Callithrix jacchus: one gene and its partners. The protein of the gene in region 1 interacts with the protein of each later gene in a pairwise test. Links are inferred from orthologs where the notes say so. Each region holds a gene or a part of one and is shown in the gene's direction. Other genes may lie near its edges.

Region 1 (3,514 bases):
GTTTTTCCCTAACTATTCAGGGCTCAGAATTAGGTTTTGAATGAAAGTGACAGAATGTAGGCATTTGCCAGCCTGAAGCTTGGCAGCACATTAGTGCTGAGAATGTTTTTTTAAAATACCCATCATCTTCAATTTCACCATTCATATTTATATGTCACAGAGCAAATCATGATGACCCATGAGGTTTATATAGGAGATCTAATATTTGTGATGTGGACCAGGCATGGTTTTATGTTACTCATAATATTTTAACTGCACTAGCAGATTTTTCAGTGGGGTTCTTGTTCTTCTAACATTATTCCTCATAATCGGACTTTTAAAAAAATCCAGAATAAAAAAAGTCTACTTATGTCTACTCATTATCTCATTTGCATAGGGTCCATATTCAAAATGGGTAATAAATCAATGAGAAAGTAGAAGGAAAAAAAGAAATAAAGAAAAGATTTGACCTTATTTTTGTTCCTTTTTCTTAGGCTTGAAGAGAATTACATTGTATGTGAAGGAGTTTGCTTACCACGGTGCATTCTTTATGCACACTACCTAGATTTCTGTAGGAAAGAGAAATTAGAGCCAGCCTGTGCAGCCACCTTTGGAAAGGTAAATGACACATATTGGCTATAGTGACTTATAACTAAAGTCATGTTGGGCAGATAGCATAAAACCAAATTCATCTGTGTAAGTTCTCTTAGAGACTACTGCGACATCTGTTTTGCAGGCATAAATTGTCTTAAGGACTCTGTTTGGAAGTGCTATATCTTTATAACTTGATTTTGAATATCAGAACCCTAACTATTAGACTATCTAATGCAAATTGAAAGCAAGCTTTGTTTAAACAGTAGCATTTCCCTTCAAAGAGGGATGCATTAAAGTACATGGTATGGCCAGTGTTAAGAAGCAAAATTAAATGGAGTGGTAAGTCTCTTGATAATGCAATTAGTGGTTAGTGGGTATCTTTATTATTTAGCTAGTTCAAATATATGAATTTTTAATAGGTTTTTACTGTATTAAAAGTTCTCCTAATTCTCCATTTCACTCTGTTTGCATTCCCGAACCTCAAGATTTTATGATGGGATGGATTAGAATTCTCTCATTTAAAAGTATTTCTTTCTATCCAATCTGTATGGTTAGGATGGGAATCTGTATAAGTGACATTACTATACTTATATATATAGAGAGAGACATCAGTTTGAGAATCAAAATCAATCTTTTAAGAAAGTCTTGTTCTTAAGAGTCATGTCATGCTGTGTTTGAGGACCTAGGATATCCCAGAAAAACTTTAGGAAGCTTGAGTCTCAAATATTGTATCTCATACAAATTGACATCCAGATTCTGACCTGTAGAAGGACTCATTGTCCAGAAAATAATGAATACTATGCTCCAGCTTCTCATTAAAAAAATAATAATTTATACAAAATTAGACAGGCGTGGTGGCTGATGCCTGTGATCCCAGCTACTTGGGAAGCTGAGGCAGGAGAATTGCTTGAACCCAGGAGGTGGAGGTTGCAGTGAGCTGAGGTCATGCCATTGCCCTCCAGCCTGGGCAACAAGAGCGAAACTCCATCTCAAAATAATAATAATAATAATAATAAATTATTTATTTATTTTGAAAACCTAGCTATTTACAGAGAGAGTGTGATATTGCACACTGTGTAATCAGGTAATCTAGGTTCTAGCCTAGACTGGACTAATTTATTGTGAAACCTTCTGAAAAGCACTTAATCTCTTTAAAATTCAGTTTACTCGTTCTATTAAATGAGGATTTTGGATAAGACAACTTCTAATATCCATAATAACATTACCATTTTCTGAGTCCACCTTATGGGAACAATTCGTAACTGTTTGGCAGTCCTGAAGCACCTTGAAAATCTGGTAAAACTATAGACTCAGCCTCCAAGAAATTAACACATACATAGTTTGCCTTGGAGCTCTCTGAAGTTCATGTATGGATCTTCAAAGATTGAGGTTAAAATTGTTTTATGTAAAAGACTTTTTGAAATTTTTAATCAGATCCTATTTTTAGCAAGTTTAGAGAAAGGAAGATACAAAACAAAAATTTTATAACATTACAACGGAGACACAGTAAGGCAGAGAAAGTTTTATATGTCCTTTTGGGGTTGGGAATAGATTTTTAATTGTGGGTATCTCTGAATGGAATCATTAGGAAGAGACTCAAATCGTGTCACTTCATACATACACGAAGTAATAATTTCTTTGATGGTACCATCAAGCAAAAGCAGATATTGGTATGCTTTGCCTTTGAAATTGAGAACAGGTCAGTAGAACCCTTCAACCAAAAAAGTACCTCCCTGCCTCTGCTGATACATTGCTTATCAATATGTGTAAGTTATTACTTTTTCCAGACTAAGTGTTCACTCACAGTTCATTCAGAGTTCAACATTCACTTTCCCCAAGTAATTGTCTACGAGTGGCTTGTAATAGGACCATATACTTTCTAAAACCTAAAGTAATTGTCTTTCTTTTTAGACAATTCGCCAGAAGTTTCCCCTCCTAACAACAAGGCGGCTTGGAACAAGAGGCCATTCAAAGTAAGATATCAATGAATATAAATCAGATTCTGCTCTTGTGCATGAGGATTGACACAAAGGTAAAATAAGTATTGTCTTTGTCAGTACAAAGAGAACCAGATATTCTCTTGATGAAGCAGACTTTTACCAACTGTGAGAACTAAAAAAAAAAAAACAAAGTAAATTTTAGAATAATTTTTAAAAAGCAAATTTTACATATGAAAATCGTAATATATTATTATTTCTGCTGAAATAATTTAAATGAGTCATTTTCATAATCTTTAAGCTATTACTGAAGGCACCAGTGTCATGAAGGAGGAATGTATGAGAATTAACTATAGTGAACCAAGCAGACTCCACAATGCTCCCAAAGAGCAAGGCCCAAACCAGGGGGTATAGAGCTTTGAGTAGGAAGGAAGTGCCTTAGCATGTTTCAGAATCTTCCTCTAGTTTTCTTTCCCAGGAAATCGTTTCTTGATATCTCCTTCTTTTCTCTTCAAGACAAATGACATGCACAAATGGCCTGTTTGGTTATTTCTTAATATATATATAAACATAAAATAAGCAGTCACACATCCCTTCTCTTCGTATCTTTAAATTTTCCTCTATGTTGTGACAGTCTCTGGAGAACTCCCAGGTACAATTTCTCATTCAACACTATTTTCTCTATGTGCTGTATTTTCAGTTTCTCCTTTCCTTCTGCCTATAAGCATGCCTTTATGCTGAGAAAGAAAAAAGTTCCAACCTTCATGATTGCTCTAGTATTTCCCGCTTTGAGTTGTTGCTTCCCCTACCTCTGGCCTAGTCCATTTCTCTACCATGGCAAAAATCCAATGACTGGTTTTTACTGTTACTCATCTGCCTTGGCTCCTGCCTAGCATTTGAATCAACTGATAATGCCCTCTTTAAATAAATAGATAGAGAAAACTTCCTCTATAGCTTCTCTGTCACAGTACTATCCAGGCCCTCGTCCCTCTTCTACTACTCTT
Region 2 (4,067 bases), on another chromosome or scaffold:
CTGGCTAATTTTTCATATTTTTAGTAGAGACGTGGTTTCTCCATGTTGATCAGGCTGGTCTTGAACTCCTGAGCTCAGGTGATCCGCCCACCTCAGCCTCCCAAAGTGCTGGCATTACAAGCATGAGCCACCATGCCCTGCAAAATTTTAAATCCAAAAAGGTTTGGCTGGGTGTGGTAGCTCACGCCCGTAATCCCAGCACTTTGGGAGGCCAACGTGGGCGGATCACCTGAGGTCAGGAGTTTGAGACCAGCCTGGCCAACATGGTCAAACCCTGACTCTAAAAAAAAAAAAGAAGGCCGGGCGCGGTGGCTCAAACCTGTAATCCCAGCACTTTGGGAGGCTGAGGTGGGTGGACCATGAGGTCAAGAGATTGAGACCATCCTGGTCAACATGGTGAAACCCCGTCTCTACTAAAAATACAAAAAATTAGCTGGGCATAGTGGCGCGTGCCTGTAATCCCAGCTACTCGGGAGGCTGAGGCAGGAGAATTGCTTGAACCCAGGAGGCGGAGGTTGTGGTGAGCCGAGATCGCGCCATTGCACTCCAGCCTGGGTAACAAGAGTCAAACTCGGTCTCAAAAAAAAAAAAAAAAAAAGAAAGAAAAGAAAAAAGAAAAAAATTTAAAACGACTGGCCTCAATGGTTCACACTTGCAACCCCAGTGCTTCGGGAGGCTGAAGCAAGGGGATCACTTGAGGCCAGGAATTTGAGATCAGCCTGAGCTACATTGCAAGACTCCCGTCTGTACAACAAATAAAAATAAAATTAAAGTTAATTTGAAAAACAAAAAAGAGAAACAGTAGCACCTGAATTGGCACCATGTATGTACTAGTAAAAACTAGTTAAAATGAAGTCAGTAACTAAAGAATAAGTGAATGAGTGAACAGGCGAAGGAAGAAAACATAGACCAGAGCAGGTGCGCCTTGGGTTGAGCCCCTCCCCTTGCGTCCGGCCCCTTGCCCGCCCCTGGGCCCCTCCGGGACTACATTTCCCGGAAGCCCACGCGCCCCGGGCATGCGCAGCGGCGCGCTCGGAAGCTGCGACGCTGAGTTTCACTCTGGTTGCCTTCTCCTGAGAGTCGGAGCTGCAGCCGGAGACCTTCCGAGGCCGAGCCGAAGCTACAGCCCGAGCGCTGTGGTGCCCTCAGCCCCGTTCTCTCGTCCTCCTCAGCCTAGGTGAGAGGGCGGGCAGGCTACCTGCGCGTCGCTGGGGCGCGGGGTGGCGCGGGGAGTCGGAGCACAGCCGGGACCGGAAGGGGGCGGGCGTGGGTGTGAGGGGAGTAGACGGCCCGGGCGGCGGGGACACCCGGGGGTCCCGGGAGATCAGGGATGTCGGGGCATCGGTCTCCGGTCTCAAGGTCCTGGTGGCGGGAGTTGGGGGGACTTGGGAGGCGCCGGGAGCCTTGGACGGGACAGGGTGCCGGGTGCGAGAGGGGACGTCTGGGTGGAGGCTGAGGGGCTCCCAGGCGGAGGGGCGCGGCCCCCGGGAGTTCGGGTCGCTCGGGAGGAGCGCACCCCTTCCCACAGGACCCGGAGGAGGCGGTGACGAGATTGCCACCGGCTCTGACGAGGGGTGGGTCCTACTGGGGTCTACCTCCAGGTGAAGGGACTTACGGTCTGGGGGTTGTACTTTGGAGGAGATTGCCTTCTAACTGTGCTTCCCTGCTCTCCGGCTGGGGTCTGCCTTCTACTTTCCCAGGACCTCCTGGGTCCCTTTTGCGGGTGCGTAAGGGGTGCCAACGAAGACTTAGAACTCGGTTCCCTTTTCTGGAGTTGCGCTTTCATCGCGACTCTCAGCTAGCCGCCCTCCTCCTCCAAGCCGGCTCCGCTTCTCTAAGCGCCAACCGCGATGGAAATAAATAGCATGTGTACAAACGCCTGGACCCTTGAGAAACTCAGAATATTTCTGCATGCCCTCCTAGCTCCTCTAGCGTTAAAGAAGGCAGACTTTCTGGTAGCCACCATCCGGGCTTACCTAAGCCATCCTGACAGCAAGCCCTCTGGTTCGGTTGCTCTGTGATCTTGGCCAAATATTTACTGTCTCTGGTATGTTGATTTCCTGGATGCTTAGCTGCCAGACTGGCTTATGAAGTTCTTTTAGGGTTTTCTGTGAAAGGCCTCAGGTCAGGCACGGTGGCTCACGCCTGTAATCCCAGCACTTTGGGAGGCCGAGGTGGAAGGATCACTTGAGTCCAGGAGTTTGACACAAGCCTGAGAAATGAAGAAGATTCCTGAGATACTGTCTCTACAAAAAATTGGATGGGCCTGTTGGCACCTGTAGTCCCAGCTGTTTGGGAGGCTGCGGCAGGAGGATTGCTTGGCCCCAGGAGTTGGAGGCTGCAGTGAGCTATGATCATGCCACTGCACTCCAGCATGGGTGACAGAGGGATAACGAAACTTTTTTTTTTTTTTTTTTAAAGAAGGGCTCAGAGCTGGGTGTAGTGGCTTGTGCCTATAATCCCAGGTATTCGGGAGGCTGAGGCAGGAGAGTTGCTTGAACCTGGGAGGTGGAGGCTGCAGAGACCTGAGATCGCCCCACTGCACTCCAGCCTGGGTGACAGAGCAAGACTCCATCTCCAAAAATAAATACATAATAAAAAAATAGAAGGGCTCAGGGTTTTTTTGTTGTTGTTTGCTTTTTGTTGTTTTTCAACCATCTCCTTGATAAGTGGGTGGAGGAGGCCTTCTGCTCCACCCAGGCTACTGGAAAATAAATCTGGTGATTTTCAGTCCCCAGGCACAGCACACGGATCCAACATCTGCACCTTCGTTTTTACTAACCGCTGTTTCTCAATTTAAAACCTGATCATCATCTTCCTTGTTGGCAAAGGTGCCTTGGAAATTGTGTTGCTGAGTCAGCAAGCCTTTCAGATTTGCCCGGTTTTTGTTGTTTGTGGTTTGCATCAAGATGGGAACTCAAACAAGTCATTCCTCCTAAGGAGCTGGTGTCTTCATCCAAAAGGGACGCTTCGTGCCAGCTCTCAGGAGAAAAAGGTGAGAGCCACAGGGACTTGACCTTGCTGCCTTCTCTGTCTGGTGCAGAGAAGGTGGGGATTGGGGAGGGTGGAATTTGAGGTCTACAGGATAAACGGTCACCCTGGGAGTTAATTGTTGATTGCCACCTGTCTCAAATAAATTTCAGTGGCGTCTTGCCAGCTGCTTCTCCTGTTTAACTAGTCTTAGAAGATGCTTTCCACTTTAAGACATGCTCTATGGGATGGAAGACACAAGTCACGATTTCTGCATTTGAACTGGCAGTTTTCATTTCTTTTGTTGCATAAACCTTTACTGGGTGCCAGACAAGATCTCTGTCTTTTGGGAGCTCATTGTTTGGTGGCAAAGACAAACCACAGTCAGTGATATTGTCAGTGTGACATATACTGAGATGGGGGAAATCATAAGGCCCTCCTACCCACATCCAGGAAGGGAAGGGACGGGGGAGGGTCAGGAAGGCTTCTGGAAGGTGGTAGTTGAAGGGGATTGTGAAGGAGGAGTAGGACTTAGAAAGTGGGGCACAGTCGCCTGGGAGAGGAGTCAGCATTTGCAAAGTCATGAAGCCACCGGGACACAGCTGGGCCACTGTAAGTAGCTTAGTATGTGGTAGAGGAGGCTGGAAAAGCAGGTGGAGGGCTGAGGGGGAGGGTTATGTGGGCCGTGCCAAGACTCGGGAGCAGAAGGATTTTAGCAGAATTCCATGAGGGGCATTGTATGTATTTGTCTGAGGTGGGGTCTACTGCTATTGCCCAGGCCGGAGTGCAGTGGAGTGATCATAACCACAGCCTCAAATTCCTGGCTCGGGAGGAGCTGAGTGGCCTACCACCATACCCAACTAATATTTTAACTTTTTCTAGAGACCGTGTCTCTCTGTGTTGTCCAGGCTGGTCTCTAACTCTGTGTCGTCCAGGCTGGCCTCAAGTGATCCTCCCATCTCAGCTTCCTGGAGTGCCTGGATTACAAGCCTGAGCCGCTGTGCTTGGCCTCCTGAGGGACATTTTACAGGAGCACACTGGCACATGTAGAATGGGTTAGACTGGATTGTTCTCTTAGTGAGTCTCTTTACACCATG
Region 3 (3,514 bases), on another chromosome or scaffold:
AGGACTCAAGGGATTTCCTGGATGAAGAGTAACTGGGAAGGCTTAAGCAGGTTTCTCCAAAGTTCTCACCTTAGGGAGGAGCTCAACCTGGAATAAAAGCAGGTGTTTTGTCATCCCATCTAACCACAGGTTGAGTTACCCTGATGGGTTTTTAAGCTATTCCAATGTGCATCATCTCAATAAAGCTGTTATTTTAAAAAATACATTACTAGATTCCAGTTTTAAAATACTTAAATTTTACAGCTTCTGAAAAAGGAAAGTTATTTCCAACCAGACAAGTAAAATAGGAAAATTGACTCTTTGCATGGAGCATGGTGGCATACGCCTGTAATCCCAACGGTTTGGAAGGCCGGTGCAGCAGGCTTGCTTGAGGTTAGCCTGGGAAACATAAGGAGACCCTGTCTCTACAAAAGATTTAAAAATTATCTGGGCATGCTGGTACATACCTATAGTCCTAGCTACTCAGGAGGCTCAAGTCAGAGGATCACTTGAGCCAGGGAGATTGAAGCTGCAGTGAGCTTTGATGGCACCACTGCACTCAAGCCTGGGTGAGAGAGTGAGGGCCTGTCACTGAAAAAAATAAAATTATGTCTGCACAGACTCTATGCCCAGATAAGGTCCCATTCGCAGGCCCTTGGCTCACTTGAGCCCTGGAGGTGGAGGCAGAGGCTGCAGGGAGCCGAGATTGCGCCACTGCACTCCACCTGGTGACAGAGTGAGTTATTAATAATAACTTGGCTTTATCAGTTCTTTCTGAATCCTTTGACTGAGTCCTCCCAGGACTTCAGCATCTCTCTGGGGAGCACTGTTCCGCCCACAATGCTGGCGTTCGTCTCTGTCTTAGTTGTCGCGTTAACAGTTTCATTTCTTAGCTTTCCATTTGTATTTCCGTAAGATAAGAAAAAGGTATAGTTTAGTATTTGAATCGTTGTGAGAAAGTGTACATGCCAAAGCCACAGATTTGGTTTTGGAATTCCAGAGTTAACGTGTCGTGAGCTGCTCAAAGAATGCGCTGCCTTAGCCTGGACGGCTCCTATAGCCTGCGCAGGAAGTCAGCTACGTGTCTCCTTCTCCCTCCAGGGAACTCTCAGTACAGCCAGCAGCAGGCCGGGTACCAGCAGGGCGCCGCGCAGCAGCAGGCCTACTCCCAGCAGCAGTACCCCAGCCAGCAGAGCTACCCCGGGCAGCAGCAGGGCTACGGTAAGCGGGGCATGTTCCTCAGGGCCCCCCAGCGCACACAGACACGTGTGCAGCAACCCTGGTACATAGGCAGATGTGTAATCAGCTTCTTATTTTGAATAGCTTTAGGTTTCCAGAGAAGTTGGGAACATCCATGCATGTCGGCCTGAAACATTGTAACTTAAACATCAACATAAATTCATTGCCCAAGCAGCCTGTGAGGGAGCCAGTGTCCTGTCCATCCGCCACCTGCACGCTCCATGCCCAGCTTCAACCTCTTTGACAGAGCAGGTCAAAGCCTGTGGGTCTCGGCATTCACTGCAGCTTAGAATCACCCAGGAAGCTTCTGAAAAATAAGGTCTGGGGCTGCCCCAGATCAGTCTGTGCAAAATCTCAGTTCTCAGGATGAGCCTCACCCACGTGACTTCTTGTGAGACTCATGCATGATTCTGCTGTGGTGAGGAAGGAGAGGCCCTGTTAAAGGTTGCTCACCCTTTAGGGCCATCGCTAATTAAATAGTAGTTTAAATATCACTTGAGGAGGCTGGGAACAGCGGCTCACCCCTATAATTCCAGCACTTTGGGAGGCAGAGGCGGGCAGATCACCTGAGGTCAGGGGTTCAAGACCAGCCTGACCAATATGGCGAAACCCCATCTTTTTTTTTATTTTTAATTAATTAAAAATAAATTAGCCAGGCATGGTGGTGTGTGCCTGTAATCCCAGCTACTAGGGAGGCTGAGACAGGAGAATTGCTTGAACCTGGAAGATGGAGGTTGCAGTGAGCCAAGGTCGTGCCACTGCACTCCAGCCTGGGTGACAGAGCGAGACTCTGTCTCAAAATAAAAAGAACTTGAGGCTCATTGTGGTGGCTCATGTCTATAATCACAGCACTTTGGGAGGCTGAAGCCGAAGGACTGATTGAGGCCAGGAGTTTGAGACCAGCCTGGGTGACATAGTGAAACCATCTCTACAAAAAAATACAAAAACGAGCCGGCATGGTGGTGTACTTCTGTGGTTCCAGCTACTTGGGAGGCTGAAGCAGGAGAATCACTTGAGCCCAGAAGGTGGAGGTTGCCATGAGCCAAGATCATGCCACTGCACTCCATCCTGGGTGACAGAGTGAGACCCTGTCTCAAAAAAAAAATTACTTGGCCTTCATCAGTCCTCTCCAAAGCCTTTGACTTAGGCTTCCTAGAGACGATGCCTCTGTAAGTTTTCCGCAGCTCCTGTGATAGTTAACTTAGAGCAGCCAGTGTGACTGGCACCAGCGGGTTCTGGAGGGCTCTCCTGCTCCTCCATCTTTGGGTAGCAGCAGCTCAGGGGTGATGCAGAGAGGCCGTCAGTGCCCCCATGCTGGTGGCAGGCTTGGGGCACAGTCCTGCAACCTCACAGGACTGGAGGGGCTGGTGAGTTGGTTGTGTGCTGCTCTCGCCATACGGAGTTAACGTGAAGCTCCTGCCGGTGCAGAAAGACGGATGCACCCATTTTGGCCTGCCTCACGGTTTCTGCTGTTTTCTCAGGGCCTGCCCAGGGAGCCCCCTCGCAGTACCCCGGCTACCAGCAAGGCCAAGGCCAGCAGTACGGAAGCTACAGAGCACCGCAGACGGCACCCTCTGCCCAGCAGCAGCGGCCCTACGGCTATGAGCAGGCAAGCTTTTTGGATGTTAACAGATGTGCCTGTCCGCCTTGCCTATTGAGACTTAATGAAGATTTCTCTTATGGCCATGAGGAATAATGAGCTAGAACTAACTGGCTTCCAGGGTTCCTTCCAGAATGTTAAGTCTCTGAGCCTGTAAGGTTTTTCAGAATTATTTCTGTGTACATGCTCACCTCAGTCATGCAGCAGCTTTTCATGCCCTAAACTTACTGTTAATCTGCATGCCTGGTTCTCCCATTCATTCCTTCACTCTGCCCACATTTGTTGTGTACTGGGCACACGGCAGGTCTCTGCTGGGTGCCTGGCATGTGGCCATGATATGAACCCTGTGCTTTTAGAACTTATGTCTTGTTCTGGAGACTGTCACTTGTCCGATGGGGCCAGACCTTGCTGAGCACGGATCGGGGAGCCCCTAGTGGAGCCTGCCTTCCAGTGCAGGCGGCCACATTTGACCAGTGTGGACAGTTCCAGAAGGAAGACACAGTGGGGAGTGGTGGGCAGCCGCAGGCTCAGCCCAGGGAAGGGGGAGCCCTTTCTGTCCAGGGACAGTGATCAGGGCTTTGAAAGAGCTAAGGAAAGAGCACCTTGGAAGCGAGAATAGTGGGAGCTCCCAGGACAGTAAGGAGGCCAGCGTGGCAGGAGGCGACAGGGATAGGTGGGCGTGGGGGCCCCCATAAA
Region 4 (3,969 bases), about 73 Mb from region 1:
GGGCACATCTTGTGATGGTCACAGATTGTAGGCTGTTTTTTGGAAGGTTCAGGTTCAGCACAGGATTCCATTTGTCTGCAATCAGATGATAAGACAATGGGTGGCATTAGAAATGTAAAACTATGGGAGGGAAATTGGTAAGAGATACTTAAATCCCTTGCAACATCTGAAAACACATTTAACTAGGAATAGTCAAGGGTTTTACATCACATTCTTGTACATTTCGTGAACAGCTGTCAGAAAATATTGCTTCTCCCAGCCTCTAGGTCTCTTAAGACACGCAGGGGTGTAGTTCAGTTCTTACCTACTTGGCTACACCCCTGGCTGAGGTGCCATGAGGTCAATGTCACTCAAGTTCCTGGCCAGCCAAACTCCCGCAGCAAAGAGTCCCAAATTAAGGATCAAATTCCTGGAAAAACAATGTGTTTTATTAACCCTGTCGTCAGTCACTTGTACGGTTAACGAAAAGTACTGGGGGAAAAGGTTTCCAGTTACCACCACCTTCCCGAGGCGTTGATACGTGGTTGTGACATGGTGGGTTGCTGAAGACCCACGTGGGAATTTGGAGTTCATTTTTGTGCCTAATAAATGTAAGATCAAACGCAAAGCCCTAGTGAAGCACTCGTCCAGGGCCGAAAAAGCTTGTTTACGTGCTGGCACCTCTCCCCCTGATCAGGGTGACATTACAGATACAGCCACATGACAGAAAGATCGCTTTTGCCACACGGGAACTCTCTTGGTAAAGGACCTCAGTGAGACACAGCCAGAGCTACGAAGAAGCCATAATGCCAGCAATGTTTAAAAAACAAAAACAAACAAAAACCCTGAGGCGTCAGCCCCGCGAGGAAGGGAAAATACGGACGTAAGGACCAGAGAAGGACCAAGTTCTCCGGGTTCGGTTACCTCCGGAAGTCATTCCTATCAGTGGCAAAGCGGTAGACGCCCCGAAGCCAATCTCCCACGTTGTCCGGTATTTCGGGGGTTTCATTAGCCGAGCCGGCAGCGCTCACCGGGACCCCGCTGGAAGCCATAATAGGAAGCTTCGCACGAACCTCGTTGGAGGCACCGTATCGGCGTCGCCGGAGGATGACGCACCTCCGGTCTGGCACTTCCGGCGGCCACCGGCCTGCAGGGGACGCTGTTCGCTTATTCCGATAACGGAAGAGAGGGACGGCCCCCTGCTGCGCGTCCACCAACTCTACGAGGGGAGGAGCGCGGCCCAGCTCTACGGTCCCCTGCTCCCCGTCCCACCTCCGGCGCTCCAGCCGGTAACCGTCACGCGTGCTGTGATCATTTAATTGGCTCAGGAGGAGGATGGTAGGGACGGGGCTGTCCCAGCCTGTGGAGGTGGGGGTGGAGGCTATCTCAGCAAGGGAAGTGTAGCTTTGGACAATGGGTTTTGCCAAAAAGGTCTCCACCAGAAGTCCTAGAACACGCAGTGCTGAAGGGAGTACACTCCAAACTTGTCACCTCGCCGCCTCTCGCGGGCGTGCGCATGACTGCGTCTCACTCTCGGATTTTTCTAGGGGGAGGATAGCCTTGTTCTCCCGCTCTACAGACCTCTTTCCCTCCATTCACACCCCTTCTCTGAGCTGCACCTCTAGCACACGGTGCAGTGCTTCTTAGAGGCGTTGCTGTCCTCTGCTTGGAGGTTTCCGGGGGTCTTCCAGGACAGGGGAAGGCGCTCGCCTAAGAAAAAGCCTTCAGGTTCCGAGTCAGAAGAAGAGGAGTAGGTGGGGAAAGGAGTGTCCTTGGGATGACGAGGAGTCTTCAGGAGGCATTGCTCCTGCCCTTTGGGTGCCTCCGCTTTGTCCCCAGGTCGGCTTTTCTGCTGGGGACTGGATCCAGGCAGCCCGGTCCGAGTTTGCAGGCTGGAACAGCCGGCAGCAGCGAGGAGTGTTCGGGAGAGGGTCACAGAGGTCAGCGAGGTTTGGTCCCTTCCTTCAGTTCGGTCGGGTCCAGCCTCCCCTGTTCCTGGCCGGTTCGGAAACGCTGGTCTCAGAGCGCGGAATCTCCCTTCCAGAGCCTGGCTAGACCACCACCGCAGCTATCCGGGGTGAGGCCCAGCCTCCCGCCCCGCCCCTCCCCGCCCCTAGGCCGTGTGCGCCGCTGCCGAGAGTCCTCTCCTGGGTCCCCCGCCTCCACCCACCAGAGGGCGGCCGCGTCCCGTGCCTGGGAGGGATTGCGGCGCCGCAAGCCCGACCGCGGTGCGGGGTGGGTTCGAGAGGCCCTTGGAACGCTCCAGCCAGGGACGCGCGGTGAGAGCTGCGGGCCCCAAGGCTCGGGTATGGGGGGTGCGGTGGGAGGCCGCGGGCGCTGCTGGAGGGACGGGACGGCGTGGGACCGGGACAAGGGTCCCAGCCCGGGAGAACCCCCACAGCCCAGCCCAAGCCCCCTCCCACTTTGACCTGCATCCTCTGCCTTACCAAGGAACGCCTGCCCTTCCAGTGCCCCGGCCGAGCTCCAGCCTGCATCCGAGTAGCGGTTCTTGAAGCAGCTGGGGCAGCAGGGGCTTCCCCCAGGCAGTGCATAACGTCCCCCGCCCAGGGGCCCGGCGCAGTCCTGGCAACAGAAGTGGTTCTCATGCCAGTGTCGTCCCTCTGCCTCGGTGCAGTGCCGAGAGAAGATCAGCTGGGAGAGGGAGAGGGGAACGATTCATTCATTCATTCATTCACTCATTCATTCATCCAGTAACCACGCCTTATACCCAGAACGCTAAAGCACGTCTACAAACATTCCCATTTGATCCACTCAGCCACTCTTGGACACAGGGAGGACTGATTGGCTTAGCCAGGATGCCAGCTAGCAAGTGGCACAATCCAAAGTTCGACCTGGGGGTCTGGACTCCCAACCCAGGGCTCCAGGCTTCCTTTTATGCTGGCCTTAAGGGAATTTCTAGCATGATGAGGCACAGCACTGGGCACTTGGCATATACTTATGAGCATCTGTCCAAGAGTCCCTGCTCTAGAGAAATTTTCTGAGTCCAAGAACATTTGAGGGACTCTGATTGCAATGGGGGCACAAGAAAGGCCGTGGGCCCCACATGCCCAGAGCTCAAGTCAGAACACAGGGAACTTGGTAGTCCCAGGCTGGTTACTAGTTCTCCCCGCTCCCTGATACTGGGAGAACCTGTGGCCCAGGAGAGTGTCCCTTTGTATCCTGCCACTCTGGACCCTGGGGAGACCCCCAGTTCTTTTGTACCTGGTCACAAGCTGGGCAGCGCGGGCGCAGCAACTCTGCGTGATGACGGCCGCAGTAGAGTTGTCCATCATGGTAGAAGTAGATGAGGTTTATCAGGGCCTGGCCACAGGCCTGGCAGGCAAAGCAGGGCTGGTGCCAGCAGCGCTGTTCACCTGCCCGGGCTGCAAACACTCCGTACTCCCCTGGCTTCAGCAGCTCCCTGCACTGTGGGAGGGGAGGTGCTGAGGTGGTCGGAGGAGGCACTACCAACCTAACTTCCCTCCTTGATCTTCTAATCCAATCCCAACCTGTTCTCACCATACCCTAGCAAGCCCACATCCACTGCAGCCTATACCAAGAGCTCCCAAACTTGGTTTCTGTTTTTCCTGTTTCCCAACCAGAGTCCCAGAAGCTAGTGCCTTCTGCAGAAATAAGAGGGCAAAGAGTGGAGGAAGGAGAACCTGGGGGGAGGGGTACTACGTACCTTCTCACAGGTGTGTCCTTTAAGCTTGGGAAGTAGCAGGCGGGCCACCCCCTGTCCCAGGGCCTCCTGCTTCCGCCTGGCACAGAAGAGCCGCAGCTCAGCCAGCTCCTCCTCCCCAAGGGCCAGGCAGTAGCGCTCCTGCAGAAACAGTCCTCTGCAATGACTGGGAGAGCCCCAGCAGGCAAGATGGAGCATTGGTTGGAGGAAAAAAGACTTGGCTGCTAGGTCAGAGAAAGGTTGTAGAACCTCAGGGAGATGCCAGAGATAATGGCATTGAAGGGCAAATAGAAGAAGGAAAGGAGCTC
Region 5 (3,514 bases), about 100 Mb from region 1:
CAAGCTAACCTGAGCAAACAGGTTCATAGCAAAGCCGTAGTAAGGGAATTCAGTAACAGAAAATGAAGATAGAGCCAGGTCTGGTGAGAACTAGAACTGTAAATTCTCTCTCCTTCTTGTACTTCCTTTGCTTCTTTCTATATATCTACTTCAATCTCTTCTATTTTCTGGTTTCCTCTGCTTATCTACTCATTTGGCTCCCCCGTAACTTTGCAGAACTCATAAATGGACACTCAGAGCTTTTTCTATAGATGACCTCTCATCTCAGCTTCATCTTCCAATGGTTAGCTCCCTTCTGTGGTTCATCGGATTCCTAAGAAAGAGTCTGATTGGGCTATTTTGATTGGGCCATTTCTCTCTCTCTCTCTCTGTGTGTGTGTGTGTGTGTGTGTGTGTGTGTGTGTGTGTCTACCTCTCTGTCTTTCTGTCTGTCTCTACCTCTCTATTTGTCTCTCTCTCGCCAGCATCACAAGCCTATGGTTTGGCCGGCCTTGGTCCAGTCTAAGAGTAGGGAGTAGAATTGAATGTTTTCAACATATCTCCAGGCCTATCTACAGAGGACTTTGGGCAGGGCACGTTCATTCAAAAGTTGGGTATGAGTAGGGCAGACAATGAGTATTGCTAGGACAAGGGCATAAAAATAAAGAGAGATGGCTTGAGGATTTATTTACAAGGCTTTTAAGATGAAATGAAGTAAAATGGCATATAATGACATGAAATGGCATGCTATGTTTAGGAAATCTGAGTTCTAATTCTTTCTGGCCAACCATGTCAAGTACAACCAACTACGTATCCTCCCCGAACTTCAGTTACTTCTCTATATAATGGGAAAGTACACCTCTCCAATCTAATGACCTGGTACATTGATGAACCTATTTGCATAAAGCCTAAGATATATTAAATATCATCCATATGATTAACTGCCTTGGAATACCACCTTGTACCTGTTTGTGTTTGCCTTGGCATCTAGCAAGGTAAGATGGCAGGGCTCTGGGGAACTTGTTGAAATCATAGCAATCCCTAAGAAGAAAACAGATTCCAGAAAAGTAAAGCTGGCCATGCATTTTGTGAGGTGATCACTGCTCCAGCTCCTCCCTCCCTCCGGGTAGACGATTCACTGAGTCCTAAGCTCAGGTCACAGATACTTACCTGCAAAAGAGAGGTCTCCCCTGAGTCTTAGTGGAATTGCTAGAAATTATCGTAATCACAATTTAAATAATACACCATTTGGGAGCAATGAGAAAAGAAGGAAGAAAGCCAGCACCTCATGCATCTGACTCTGGGTGAGGCCCTCGTCTTTTAGCTCTGGGGGACTAAATATTATGATGCACATTTCCCATTCAGACTTCCTTAGAAATGTTTTTTTTTCCTTAAGTGCTTAATATTTATATTCATTAGTCATGTAGTGCTGGAGCATAACATGTCTATCAATCTTGACAGATAAATAGAAAGGGGTCAGGAATGGTCATTGCATCTGAGCATCCTGAGATAGTTGAGACTTTCCCCAAGAAGGAGCAAATTGTCAGTAACTTATCCGACAAGAGGTCACTACATTTGGTTTTCCCATACCACCACTTAACACTAATAAACATTTATATAGCGCCTACTCCATACCAAAATATTCTAAGCAATTTGTAAACTTTAACTCATTTAACCTCCTTAAAGGTGTAGGTAACAGGGCTGTGCTTTATACCCTATGTTGACTTTTAGCCAAGGGGTACAAGAGACCAGTGGTCCAGTCATAGAAAGTCTGAGCTGGAGGATCATCTATCTCAACATCTACATTTTACAATTTGGGAAAGCAAGGCAGCTTGACCCAGGCTGCACCACTCACATGCATCTGACAGTTGTTAGGGACGAAAATCCCCGTCTTTTAACTTCATGCATCTGACAGTTGTTAGGGACGAAAATCCCCGTCTTTTAACTCCAAGCCCTGGCTAATTTGCATTGCACCACACTCCCTTGCCCTAATGAAATCTACTTTGTCTTCCTTCCAGCTGAGCCAGTTCCAGCTGTTGGAACAAGAGATTACAAAGCCCGTGGAGAATGACATCTCGAAGTGGAAGCCCTCTCAGAGCCTGCCCACCACAAACAGCGGCGTGAGTGCCCAGGATCGGCAGTTGCTGTGCTTCTACTATGACCAATGTGAGACCCATTTCATCTCCCTTCTCAACGCCATCGACGCGCTCTTCAGTTGTGTCAGCTCAGCCCAGCCCCCACGAATCTTTGTGGCACACAGCAAGTTTGTCATCCTCAGTGCACACAAACTGGTGTTCATTGGAGACACGCTGACACGGCAGGTGACTTCCCAGGACATTCGCAACAAAGTGATGAACTCCAGCAACCAGCTCTGCGAGCAGCTCAAGACTATAGTCATGGCGACCAAGATGGCCGCCCTCCATTACCCCAGCACCACGGCCCTGCAGGAAATGGTGCACCAAGTGACAGACCTTTCTCGAAATGCCCAGCTGTTCAAGCGCTCTTTGCTGGAGATGGCAACATTCTGAGAAGAAAAAAAGAGGAAGGGGACTGTGTTAATGGTTACTAAGGAAAACTGGAAATATTATCTGGTTTTTGTAAATATTATCTATTTTTGTAGATATTTTATATGAAAATGAAATATTTTAACATTTTATGGGTTAGACAACTTTCAGAAATTCAGGGAGCTGGAGAGGGAAATCTTTTTTTTCCCCCTGAGTGGTTCTTATGTATACATAGAAGTATCTAAGACATAAACTGTACAGAAACTTGTCCACTGCTTGTGTATGCCTATATATTCATGTTTGTTTGTAGATGTTTGTCTGACGTATTTCATTTAAAACAACATGAATTAAGAAGCACCTTAGTAAGCACCTTCTAATGCTGCATGTTTTTGTTGTTAAAAACATGCCAGCTGGTTATGATATTGTTCTCCATGTGCTTATAATGATTCTGAGCCTGGCTCTGCCAAATCTGGGAAGCATGTACATTTGCAAGTGTTCACCTTCCAAATGATGAGGCACAGCATGACTTATTCTTGTTTTGAAAACTCGTCACAGTTGACCATTGTAAACACACAATGGCCAAGTGCCCAAAAACCCTCTCGCAGAGCAAATTTCAGAATATATAGGTGAATCCAAGTTCTGATATTTCAGGTGCTGGAGGGAGGACAGACCTGTGTGTTTAGAGGCCAGGACCACAGTTAGGGTTGGGTTGTTTCAATACTGAGAGAGCTACAATAAAAGGAGAGCAACTGCCTCCCTGGGGCTATTGGATCTTCTGCATTTGCGAGCAGTTCAGCCATGAGGTTTTCCAAAGATGTTTTTTGAGTTGTAAAAACTGTATCTGCAGCAAGGATTCACAAAGACATATCAGATTATCATTGTTCACCAAAACACGGGAATGGTTTGATCCGCCAGTTGCAACTAGAGGCCTTCCTAACTCTTCACATACACTTTGGTGCTACTGCCCCCATTACCTGAGGGAAACTGGCCAGGTCCTTGATCACGGAACTATAGCCATCAGGACATATCCT

Evidence for each region.
Region 2: the proteins of RFX6 (region 1) and DTX2 interact in binary tests that used the Homo sapiens proteins (3 or more experiments, as listed by UniProt). The two-hybrid records come from large-scale screens. The link is inferred for Callithrix jacchus from reciprocal best matches to the Homo sapiens genes RFX6 and DTX2.
Region 3: the proteins of RFX6 (region 1) and SS18L1 interact in binary tests that used the Homo sapiens proteins (3 or more experiments, as listed by UniProt). The two-hybrid records come from large-scale screens. The link is inferred for Callithrix jacchus from reciprocal best matches to the Homo sapiens genes RFX6 and SS18L1.
Region 4: the proteins of RFX6 (region 1) and FRS3 interact in binary tests that used the Homo sapiens proteins (3 or more experiments, as listed by UniProt). The two-hybrid records come from large-scale screens. The link is inferred for Callithrix jacchus from reciprocal best matches to the Homo sapiens genes RFX6 and FRS3.
Region 5: the proteins of RFX6 (region 1) and NEDD9 interact in binary tests that used the Homo sapiens proteins (3 or more experiments, as listed by UniProt). The two-hybrid records come from large-scale screens. The link is inferred for Callithrix jacchus from reciprocal best matches to the Homo sapiens genes RFX6 and NEDD9.

What each region holds. Positions count from the first base shown.
Region 1 is NC_133505.1:123,208,152-123,211,665, forward strand, and holds part of RFX6 (DNA-binding protein RFX6), read left to right. Parts: intron 1-473; coding exon 474-597; intron 598-2,484; coding exon 2,485-2,546; intron 2,547-3,514. UniProt on the Homo sapiens protein: Transcription factor required to direct islet cell differentiation during endocrine pancreas development. Specifically required for the differentiation of 4 of the 5 islet cell types and for the production of insulin.
Region 2 is NC_133503.1:11,212,473-11,216,539, forward strand, and holds the start of DTX2 (putative E3 ubiquitin-protein ligase DTX2), read left to right. Parts: upstream 1-1,266; 5' UTR 1,267-1,330; coding exon 1,331-1,359; intron 1,360-2,731; exon of another isoform or gene 2,732-2,831; coding exon 2,832-2,995; intron 2,996-3,469; exon of another isoform or gene 3,470-3,582; intron 3,583-4,067. UniProt on the Homo sapiens protein: Regulator of Notch signaling, a signaling pathway involved in cell-cell communications that regulates a broad spectrum of cell-fate determinations.
Region 3 is NC_133506.1:57,735,618-57,739,131, forward strand, and holds the end of SS18L1 (calcium-responsive transactivator), read left to right. Parts: intron 1-1,080; coding exon 1,081-1,200; intron 1,201-2,699; coding exon 2,700-2,914; 3' UTR 2,915-3,029; downstream 3,030-3,514. UniProt on the Homo sapiens protein: Transcriptional activator which is required for calcium-dependent dendritic growth and branching in cortical neurons. Recruits CREB-binding protein (CREBBP) to nuclear bodies.
Region 4 is NC_133505.1:50,289,807-50,293,775, reverse strand, and holds the start of FRS3 (fibroblast growth factor receptor substrate 3), read left to right. Parts: upstream 1-1,156; 5' UTR 1,157-1,600; coding exon of another isoform or gene 1,601-1,974; 5' UTR 1,975-1,998; coding exon of another isoform or gene 1,999-2,631; intron 2,632-3,201; coding exon of another isoform or gene 3,202-3,405; intron 3,406-3,664; coding exon of another isoform or gene 3,665-3,802; intron 3,803-3,969. Other genes in the region: TOMM6 (mitochondrial import receptor subunit TOM6 homolog), read right to left, coding at 313-409, 904-1,031; PRICKLE4 (prickle-like protein 4), read right to left, coding at 1,999-2,631, 3,202-3,405, 3,665-3,802. UniProt on the Homo sapiens protein: Adapter protein that links FGF and NGF receptors to downstream signaling pathways. Involved in the activation of MAP kinases. Down-regulates ERK2 signaling by interfering with the phosphorylation and nuclear translocation of ERK2.
Region 5 is NC_133505.1:19,413,440-19,416,953, forward strand, and holds part of NEDD9 (enhancer of filamentation 1), read left to right. Parts: intron 1-1,997; coding exon 1,998-2,507; 3' UTR 2,508-3,514. UniProt on the Homo sapiens protein: Scaffolding protein which plays a central coordinating role for tyrosine-kinase-based signaling related to cell adhesion. As a focal adhesion protein, plays a role in embryonic fibroblast migration.